Nothobranchius furzeri: one gene and its partner. The protein of the gene in region 1 interacts with the protein of each later gene in a pairwise test. Links are inferred from orthologs where the notes say so. Each region holds a gene or a part of one and is shown on either strand. Other genes may lie near its edges.

Region 1 (4,545 bases):
AGAATAAAACTAAAGACAAGTAACAGTAACAGAATTTATTGCACTTCCAACGTTTCAGCACAGAACGCATAATTTACAAATGAATTTCTAAAATGTGCTTTTCGTGACCTTTCCCACCAGAATGTCTGAACCAGAGCTGATCAAATAAATAAAAAGAGAAGCCACATAATGTTCAAAACTAATTAAAAAACTAAATGGCACTTGACCTTCGGACATGCGTCGATACCAGCAGTTTGGATGGTGCCGTCAGAATTTACTTTGCAGGATGCCCACAGCTAGGAATTCAGCGCAGATGCTCCGCTAAAGAGCAAGAGGCTTCATGGCACAAACCAGAGGCATCGCAGGCTTAATATATGCAGATAAAGGCGAATAATGTGCTTCAAGCAATAAGAAATTCATTATTTATGCATTTGTGTAACAACAGTTATTTATCATGCAACATAAGGTGCATTCGTAATACAATGCCATAAGGTAAACATGAGGAAGAAGGATATATGTATAGATATAAAAAAATCTTCAAGGAGATTCTCAAAGGGTCAAAACGAGGACTGATCATGGAGCAGCTCTTTAGACCGGCTCCATGAGGAGCTCATCCAGGTCCGACGCCTCCAACTCTCGGAACGCAGCATGAGAGCCGATCACAAACAGAGTTGCTCCTGACAGGAAACCACACAGAACAGGAAAAATGGATGTAAAAAGAAACGATTTTAGTTCTTAATCAAGATGAAACATCAGAAAAAGATTACGAGGAAAGAACAAATCATGTTCAGCTTACCGAGAACCCAAAACACAGCGGCTCCGGCTCCTGCCAACCAGAAAACGGGCAGAGAAACGGCTCCAGCCAGACTCATCTGGTGTGGGACTGTCAGTTCTCTGCCTGATAAACAAGAAATATGAAGAAAAATATTAAAAATAGGGTTTGTGGTGCTAAATGCAGCGTGGGTTAAATCCAGAACAGGCATGGATGACATATTTAAAAGGTTTCACACAGAATAAAAAAAAATAGACCTTGAATGTTAAAAAAAAAAAAAAACTAAATCTGGTAAATTTGAAAAGATTATGGATTTGTAGGAAATGTACTCACCGAGAACAACCAGTTTGGACTCCAGAGACTTAAGGTGGATGGCGTAGAAGGCACCAGCATACACGGCTAAGGCAATCAGCAGCATGGGCGAGCTGATACTGAGGAGCAGGAAAAATGAACAGGGCTGTCAGGCTGGAGCTATTTAAAGCAGACTGTCGACATTTTTCTAGAAGCCAGAGTCTCACAGATGATCTAATTAACATTTTTTGTTTTAATGAAGCTCTCTTTGATTAGGTCTTACATGCAGTAGAGGATGAGCCCCAGAAATATGAAGGTATAGTTGCTGTTGTAAACTTCCACATTTTTAACCACCCTCTGACACAACTCTCCAAAGTTGCGAGGTTTTGAAAATTTGCGCTGGTCTACAAAGCTGGCCCACGGTCGGATGGACAACCTGCGCCTGTCGAACCACTCCTTAGCCATGCTGGCCGAGATGCCTTTAGGAAGCCAGAGCCTATAAAAATAAACAAAATAGAATATCATCAACACACCAAAGCCAGGGTAAAAATATGAAAGCATGGTGGTTCACACCTTGAGAGGACTCCGATGCCCCCTGTGCCGGTTGGATGGGCCTCATCTGGGATGAACAAATCTCCAGCTTTGCTGTCCATGTCCACCATGACGTTCTCCCCTTTAGGCACTCCAGATAACATTTAGAGACTGTTGACTGAAACAGAATCACATTGAATGTGGACTAAACTTTTACAAAAACAATTAGCCTGGATTTACTCATTTTTATTTGATGCAACGGTGTAGCATCTTATTTAGACTTTGGTTGCGTTTCCACTCATTTTCTGGTAGATGTATTATTATTATTATTTTTTGCCTATGAAGCCCCTTATTTCTAGTCTATAAATCCTTCAGGCATAAAACATTTCTGAAACTGGTGTAGTGTAGTGTAGTGGACATTTAAATCCTATTTTTTAAATTAGAATCGATGACAAAATACCAAAGATTAAACAATTTGAGAAATTAAAAAAAGGTACTTTAGCACACACACACACACACACACACACACACACACACACACACACACACACACACACACACACAAAACGGATTCCAAAAGATATATTGACTGAAAACTTGACATATGGTCGTTTCTATAACTGCACCATTTTCATTGACCTTCAGATCTACTGTAGACACATGTTTTAACCCCAACACTTCTTATTTTATCTTTCATATTCCTCGTGTTCCCAGTAAACCTCCCTGGTTCTTAAGCTGTTTTGAAAGCAATAATCGCAAATGTCAATGGAGCTAACTTTTGATTTTTCGTATTTTAAAACGCCACATTTGACACGTCATAATCTAAAACGGTCTCAAGTGTATAAACAATCACTGTCTAATGATTACATGTCTTTCTAGTTTAATGGCGATCCTTAGTTAGAGAAACAGGAAGAAGTAGAAACAGGGCCCGGCCAGTGCCACATCACTAAATAAACAGGATAACCGAGAAACTCTCGTTACCAAACAACAGTGTCTAGAAGTAGCAATTTCAAATATAAATATTATACTCACGACGAGTCTATTTAAAACCTGAATGTAAATGTAAAATGCTAGCTTATGAGCTAATGTTTACGTCTACTTCCGGATTTTATTTAACGTCAACGTAATTTTCACTTGTTTTTAAAATAAGAATTTAAATTACAACATACCTGCCAAAATGCTAAACCCTTAAATCATTCACCAAAATGTAGGCAGAAGTTTCACCAGACAGCCTGAGCTGTCTTTTGTTGCTGTTCTGGATCTCGGAAGTGATGTGGCTGCTGGAGAAGAAGAAAAAACTTCCTACTTCGCTGACTCTAGGCAGGGCCACCTACTGGCTACATAGAGTACTTCGAATTTTGTGTTACACAACACAGGTGGAACTTTTCATTTGTATTACTTTTTATTTTATTTATTTATTTTTTTGCATTATTTTTACTTCATCCAAAAAACGGAGTTTTTTCTCTTAACAGCCGAAAACACATCTGTTGAAAAAGCCGACCTGAGATCGGCTGCCTGTTTTCTGCGGTGGCTGCTCAAAACCACACAAGCACGAAAAACTGACTGCAGATCAGAAATGGTAAAAACGTGACCTTACGTCATGTAACAAACAAAGAGGCTGTGATTGGTAGATAGACGAGTGTTGTGGTGCTGCCGTCACTGGGCACGCGGCACTGTGGAAGTTGCTAGATCCGCCAGCGAAAGAAAGGAAACAAACATTAGAAGGTGAGGCGCTATTAATTATCTTATCAAATTTAGCTGTTGGAATGTTTTTACGTGTTGTTAAATGTAATCTTCAGACCTTGGGGTTTATGACAGTTCTGTTTTTGTTAGTCATTAATAAAGTAACGTTTCAATGCTAAAACAAAATGTACGCGTTTTTTTTTACAAATGCACTAAAGGGGGACACAGCGCCATAGCAGCATATTAGCCTACGCTGGCTCCGTTAGCTTTAGCTTATTCGGCTCTTTAGCTTACTCAGCTCAACAGCTGTCCTGGCTGGGTGTTTAATGACCGTTTTTTTCTCCACAGAAACCGTGACAGGATACATAAACTCGTATAAAGCGTAAAACCGTAACACAAGAGGAACGAGTCGTTTCAGGAGCCTCCAGCTGCTTTCATACACATTTTGCCTGAAGATAAAAACGACACCGCTGACTGGTTCGTGTGTGTGGAGAGCGTCAAGCTGAAACGGTAAAAGGCAGGAATGTTCAGCTCCACACACACTGAGCTCACGTACATTAACATTTTATATCCTGACTCCCGAGGAAAATACATTTCTATGTCATATTTTTTCAAAATCTCACATATATATTATAACTTAGTCGACTATAAGTATAAATAATGTCAGAAAATATGGTGTAAATAGTTGCATTTTCCCCAAAAAAGCTAATTATATTTTATATTTTTGTTTAATTTCCAATAACAATCAGTATTAATAGATTATTTAAAAAAATGCTCAACAAAATAGGGTAAATAACAGCAAATAAACCAAACTGGAGAACGTTTATTCAAACAATTGATAATTGTGTTAAAATATTGCTAAATTACTAAATTAGGTTAACATCCCCCAAAACTTCCTAACTTCCTAATATCTCCCAAAATAGCTTGAAAATGAGTTTTCTTCTTTTCTTTTTTTTTTTTTTTTTTGACAAAAGTTGCTTTTAAGAACCTCGTTTTCCTTAAATAGTAAGTGGAAGTCCTTCAAGCCCTTTCTCTAAAGATTTATGAGTTGTATCTGGAGTATGCATGAGGTCGGAGATTTTTCCAAAAGACAGGAAAAAGAATGCACAATTCTACAATTCAAGTTTGTGCCAAATAAAGTTATTTTAGTTTTCTTGTTGAAAACTACAATATGCTGTTTCAATTAGAAAAATAAAATAGTTTTAAACTTGCATGAAGTACTGAATAAAGTTTAGACACTGGACGCCTCTTACTGTAGGATGTGAGTTGTTAGCAGTCTTCAGATAATC
Region 2 (4,535 bases), on another chromosome or scaffold:
TAGGCTTGCTGTTTTTCCATTTAGTTTTATGTGTATGGTATTTTCCCATGATGAAAATAATGTTCACCATTTTGGACATCTTTTTTGGCAGAGCATCCATGTAGATCAACACTTTAGATTTGTTAAGCCATACATCATTTCTCTCAATATTTAATAATCGATAAACATCCTCCCAAAAATCAGTTGTTACTGAACACGAGAAGAAAAGGTGCTCAATAGTTTCACATTCTGTCGTACAAAAGACACACTGGTTCACTTCAAAATTAAATCTTTTTCTTAATGTTTCGGCAGCAGGATTGATATTATGTATTATTTTGAACTGAATTTCTTTCAACTTGGGTGCAATTGGCCATTCAAGATAGCTGCAATATGGCTTTATTAATGTAGTTTCCTTTCCTGTGATTTTTATTTTCTTTGATTTGTCAATATCATAGAATAACTATTTTTAACATACCGTAAATCCTCTAATACAGGCCCGGGCCTGTATTTGACTCAAGCTCATCAAGCTCCAGGCCTTTATTGGAAGGAGGGCCAGAATTAGAGGCAGGCCTCTATTTCTACTTGAGCAAAATGAACTAATGGTTCGCTGGAGTTTTTGACAGTTAAAATTGCGCCCACATTTTCAAAGTTAAACACATTTCTTTTAACAACGGTAGTTTCTGCTTCAGCCATCCCCCCCCTCCCCTTGCGCAGCGGCCGCAAACTCACTGATGCGCCTGCAGCCTCTTGGAGTTCCTGCTGCTCTAAACATTAAAATAATTATTTCATTTTCTGTTCCTCACTTCTGATTACCTTCAATGGTGTCTGTTTGTTGCAACCACCAGGTACAAAAATTAACTTGTTTTTATTTGACCACTTTTCTGTCCTGTCTGTTTATTATCTTCCTGCATCTCCTCTCAATCCTAAAGAAAAACTGCTACCTGGGTTCATATATATTCACCCTATGAGTTACCTTTGAACTGCAAGTCTAAAAGATCTACCGACCGCAAAAACAGCGGAGTGCTCGCTGCTTGGTGGCCGCATCAGTGATCGGTGCATCACCGGATGACAAGGTAATGCGCCCCGCTCCACAGTGAAACACATCAGACACAAATAAAAGACAGAAAACATTAAAGGAAATGAACCAACATGAACGATCGCGTGTCAAATTAGTTTTTGAGGTGGCGACACCTGATTTGATAATGTTACTGTGGCCGTGCTCAGGACGCAGATCTACCAACCGCAAAAACAGCGGAGTGCTCGCTGCTTGGTGGCCGCATCAGTGATCGGTGCGTCACCGGATGACAAGGTGATGCGCCCCGCTCCACAGCGAAGCGTATCAGGCGCAAATAAAAGACATGTCAGTGTCGCGTGTCAGTACCGACGCTCTGGCACAGCGCGTTGCCCCCCCCCCCCCCCCCCCTGAGCGCAGGAGCTTGTCACCTGCTGACAGCAGGCTGCTGTCTTTTCCAAGGGCTGCATCTTGCCGGTCATTATCACGTGACAGCGACTAGTCGATGACAGGCATAAAAAGTCACTATAGTGAAGTTGACTATTGCTCCCCAGTGTTCTGCAGCGCACGTTCTCTTTGAACTTGATATTGTAATGACCTGGCTGGGGTTGTAAGCCAGGTGCATTCTGGGTATTGTGTTATATGTGTTTCCTATCATTCTGCTAGTTCCTATGTGTTGATTTGCGTGTTGTGTGAGTGTTATGCTAATGTAAGCCACAGGGAAGGTGATGTGTGTTCTGTGGAGCGGGTTGAATTAGCATGGTTAACTGACACCGTGACTCTTGTGTGGTAGGAGCGTGATAAGAGGATTGGTGTCTGTAGCGTTACAAACTGTTGAAGAAAAATCCCAATAAAGGTCTGTGTGAACCTCTGCTTCCTCCTGCTGGTTGATCTGGGGACTATAAACCTGCCGCTGAGACGCTCGGGGTCGCTACAATATCAAATTTTCGCCTCCTCGTCATCTCTGCACGGTTAAAGTTACCCTCGCGGTCTATCACTGGCAAATCAAAAGTGAGACGATGACACAACCGCCCCCCGTACTTGCTTGTTACCACATTCCACCCGGCCACAATAAGAGACCGGCCATTATTCACCTCCGCCGACTTCGACACCGGCCAAAATATGAGACCCGGCCGTTCATTGAATACAGGCCTGTATTAGAGGATTTACGGCACTTCCAAGTACTTTGTTATTACATTTTTGTTCACCTAATTTAAATTTGCCAATTTTCAACTCAGGAAGTTTAATCACCACATTTGAATTAAGCAAGGTATTTTTCCAATTGGTCGGGTTCTCTCGAGGGATCATGGGAAACGTAGTAACACCATATTTCGACAGAAATTCTATTAAATAGCAGTTTTTAATCAATGAAGTCTTATTTATTTGACAGTTTATCAATAAATGACGTACTTGATGGTTTTTCCTCAATTAATTTATGTCAGATATAATTATTTAAGCACATTTTAATGGAATGATATTTTATATAAAAACAGAATTCTCCTAAACCTTGGTTACATATAGCACAGTATCAGTTATTTTTCACTACTGTTGGCCAAAAAAATAAGAGCGTTTGTTAAGGGTTTTAACATTTGTGTAGATACGCTATGAGCACACATAAACATTTATTCAAGAAAAACATTATTGAAAAACACAAAAGTATACATTTCACTTCCTAAAACCACTCAAATTATTTCAGGGCAAAAAAATAAAATTTGCAGGCTGGGTGCTTCATCATAACCTTATTAATCTAACTAACATTCATTCAGTCATGACAACTTGCCAAAATGTCGACCTTCATTTGAAATATTGCTGAAACACTTATAATTACAAGTGTACCTTTAATTTATTATTAGGGTTTGCTAGATTGTTTTAAAAACTTAATTAATCTTTAATAATTCAAAAAAAAAAAGAAAAAACTGACTGAACTCACCCAGTTTTCACAATGTGTCAAGAACCCACGAAGTCACGCAGTCACGCGGCCAGTTAGCTAACCTCGTTCTTCCAGCTTCAGCTGTTTACAGTTCTTAATAATAAAAAAAAGCATCAACAATTACTGTTCAGCGCAGTAAAATACTAAAAAAAATACAAGATCGACGTACAACTGCGGTCCTGTGGTTTTTGGTTCGTCTTTAAAATGGTGTCGTACGGAAACATGGTTAGATTCTTCTGTTCCAGCCTTGAAAAACATAACAAAAAATCTCCTTTAGTTACGTTTAAAAACTTTTCATTTCTGAAAATATTTAAAGATTTCAATCCATAAATAATTGAACTCGTTTAGATTCTTGAACCCAGCTAGTTGCATAACATTTTTTCTTTATCTCAGTATTAAATATTTATAAGAAATATGATGCCTTATGATGATTACTAGTTGAGAAGATGAAATGACTAAAAAAACGAGTAAATAGGATTTTATATATCTGCCAATCAGGAAATCAGAAAAAAAATTAATTTCACACAGCAACATATTAAACTAACAAATTTTTAAGACTGCTTGATTTCACGATGCTTTTGATTTTATTTCTATCTGTTTGTATCCTTTCACGTGGCATTTGATTGCTTTATGAGGTATTGTTCACATTTTAAAAATTGTACAGGGCTTTGATCAATGAAAGTTGTTTTAAACATGTTAATAAAATAAGTGATTGAAACCTGATTGGAAGATTCCATCATGCTAAAACGTAAAATCTTAAAAACAGGAACAAGTTACAGATGCCACAATATGCTTATTCAATTATGCTGAAGGTTACATTTAACCAAAAATATTCAATATAAACAAAAAGAAGTCATTCTCACCACATTAGAAATATAAAACCATGAAAGTCTCTATAAAGTTATAATAATGAAATAAAGAAAACAAGAGAGGAAATAGAGTAAAATACCAAAGACGTGAGGTAATGTGAGTCTGTAGTCCACACTGACCACACACAGTAAAGCTGAATAAAGTAAATGATGATCTTGTTTTCTCTCATGAACAGTCTGACTTTGTCGGCTGCATTAAAAGAGCAACAATTAAAGCAACAGTTGAAAGAATCTCTGTTCGTCTTTCTGTCATGTTTGTAGTTTCCAGACTCTCTTTAAACACATCATGTCTGTCTGGTGTGTGTGTGTGTGTGTGTGTGTGTGTGTGTGTGTGTGTGTGTGTGTGTGTGTGTGTGTGTGTGTGTGTGTGTGTGTGTGTGTGTGTGTGTGTGTGTGTGTGTGTGTGTGTGTGTGTGTGGCGTTCTGAATGGCCCGCCAGTGTTTCGGCCCACTGTCTGGTCACTGTGTGGGGTTCTAATAAAGCTTTATGAGTTTCTTTAATCTAACCATCTGACCAGTACAACACCCTGCTGGGACTACTCCCCTCTCATTAGAGGGCTGCTGAACAAACATAATTGACTGTTAGAAAATAGGCAAATATAAACAACACAGAGTTCCAGCAGGTGAATGGGGACATAACTGGGTGTGTTGGTGTGTGTTTGTTCAGTTGTTCTACCAGATGGTCTGTAAGACTTTCAGCAAACCATTTTCAGGCTGTTAGACGACGGGTTTATGTAACTGGGAT

What was found.
Region 2: the proteins of rabac1 (region 1) and dusp12 interact in binary tests that used the Homo sapiens proteins (3 or more experiments, as listed by UniProt). The two-hybrid records come from large-scale screens. The link is inferred for Nothobranchius furzeri from reciprocal best matches to the Homo sapiens genes RABAC1 and DUSP12.

The regions. Positions count from the first base shown.
Region 1 is NC_091745.1:74,795,193-74,799,737, forward strand, and holds rabac1 (prenylated Rab acceptor protein 1), read right to left. Parts: upstream 2,878-4,545; 5' UTR 2,743-2,877; intron 1,752-2,742; 5' UTR 1,738-1,751; coding exon 1,616-1,737; intron 1,539-1,615; coding exon 1,326-1,538; intron 1,183-1,325; coding exon 1,085-1,182; intron 878-1,084; coding exon 776-877; intron 657-775; coding exon 568-656; 3' UTR 21-567; downstream 1-20. UniProt on the Homo sapiens protein: General Rab protein regulator required for vesicle formation from the Golgi complex. May control vesicle docking and fusion by mediating the action of Rab GTPases to the SNARE complexes.
Region 2 is NC_091751.1:58,771,986-58,776,520, forward strand, and holds the start of dusp12 (dual specificity protein phosphatase 12), read right to left. Parts: upstream 3,155-4,535; 5' UTR 3,091-3,154; exon of another isoform or gene 3,015-3,090; 5' UTR 2,922-3,014; intron 1-2,921. UniProt on the Homo sapiens protein: Dual specificity phosphatase; can dephosphorylate both phosphotyrosine and phosphoserine or phosphothreonine residues. Can dephosphorylate glucokinase (in vitro).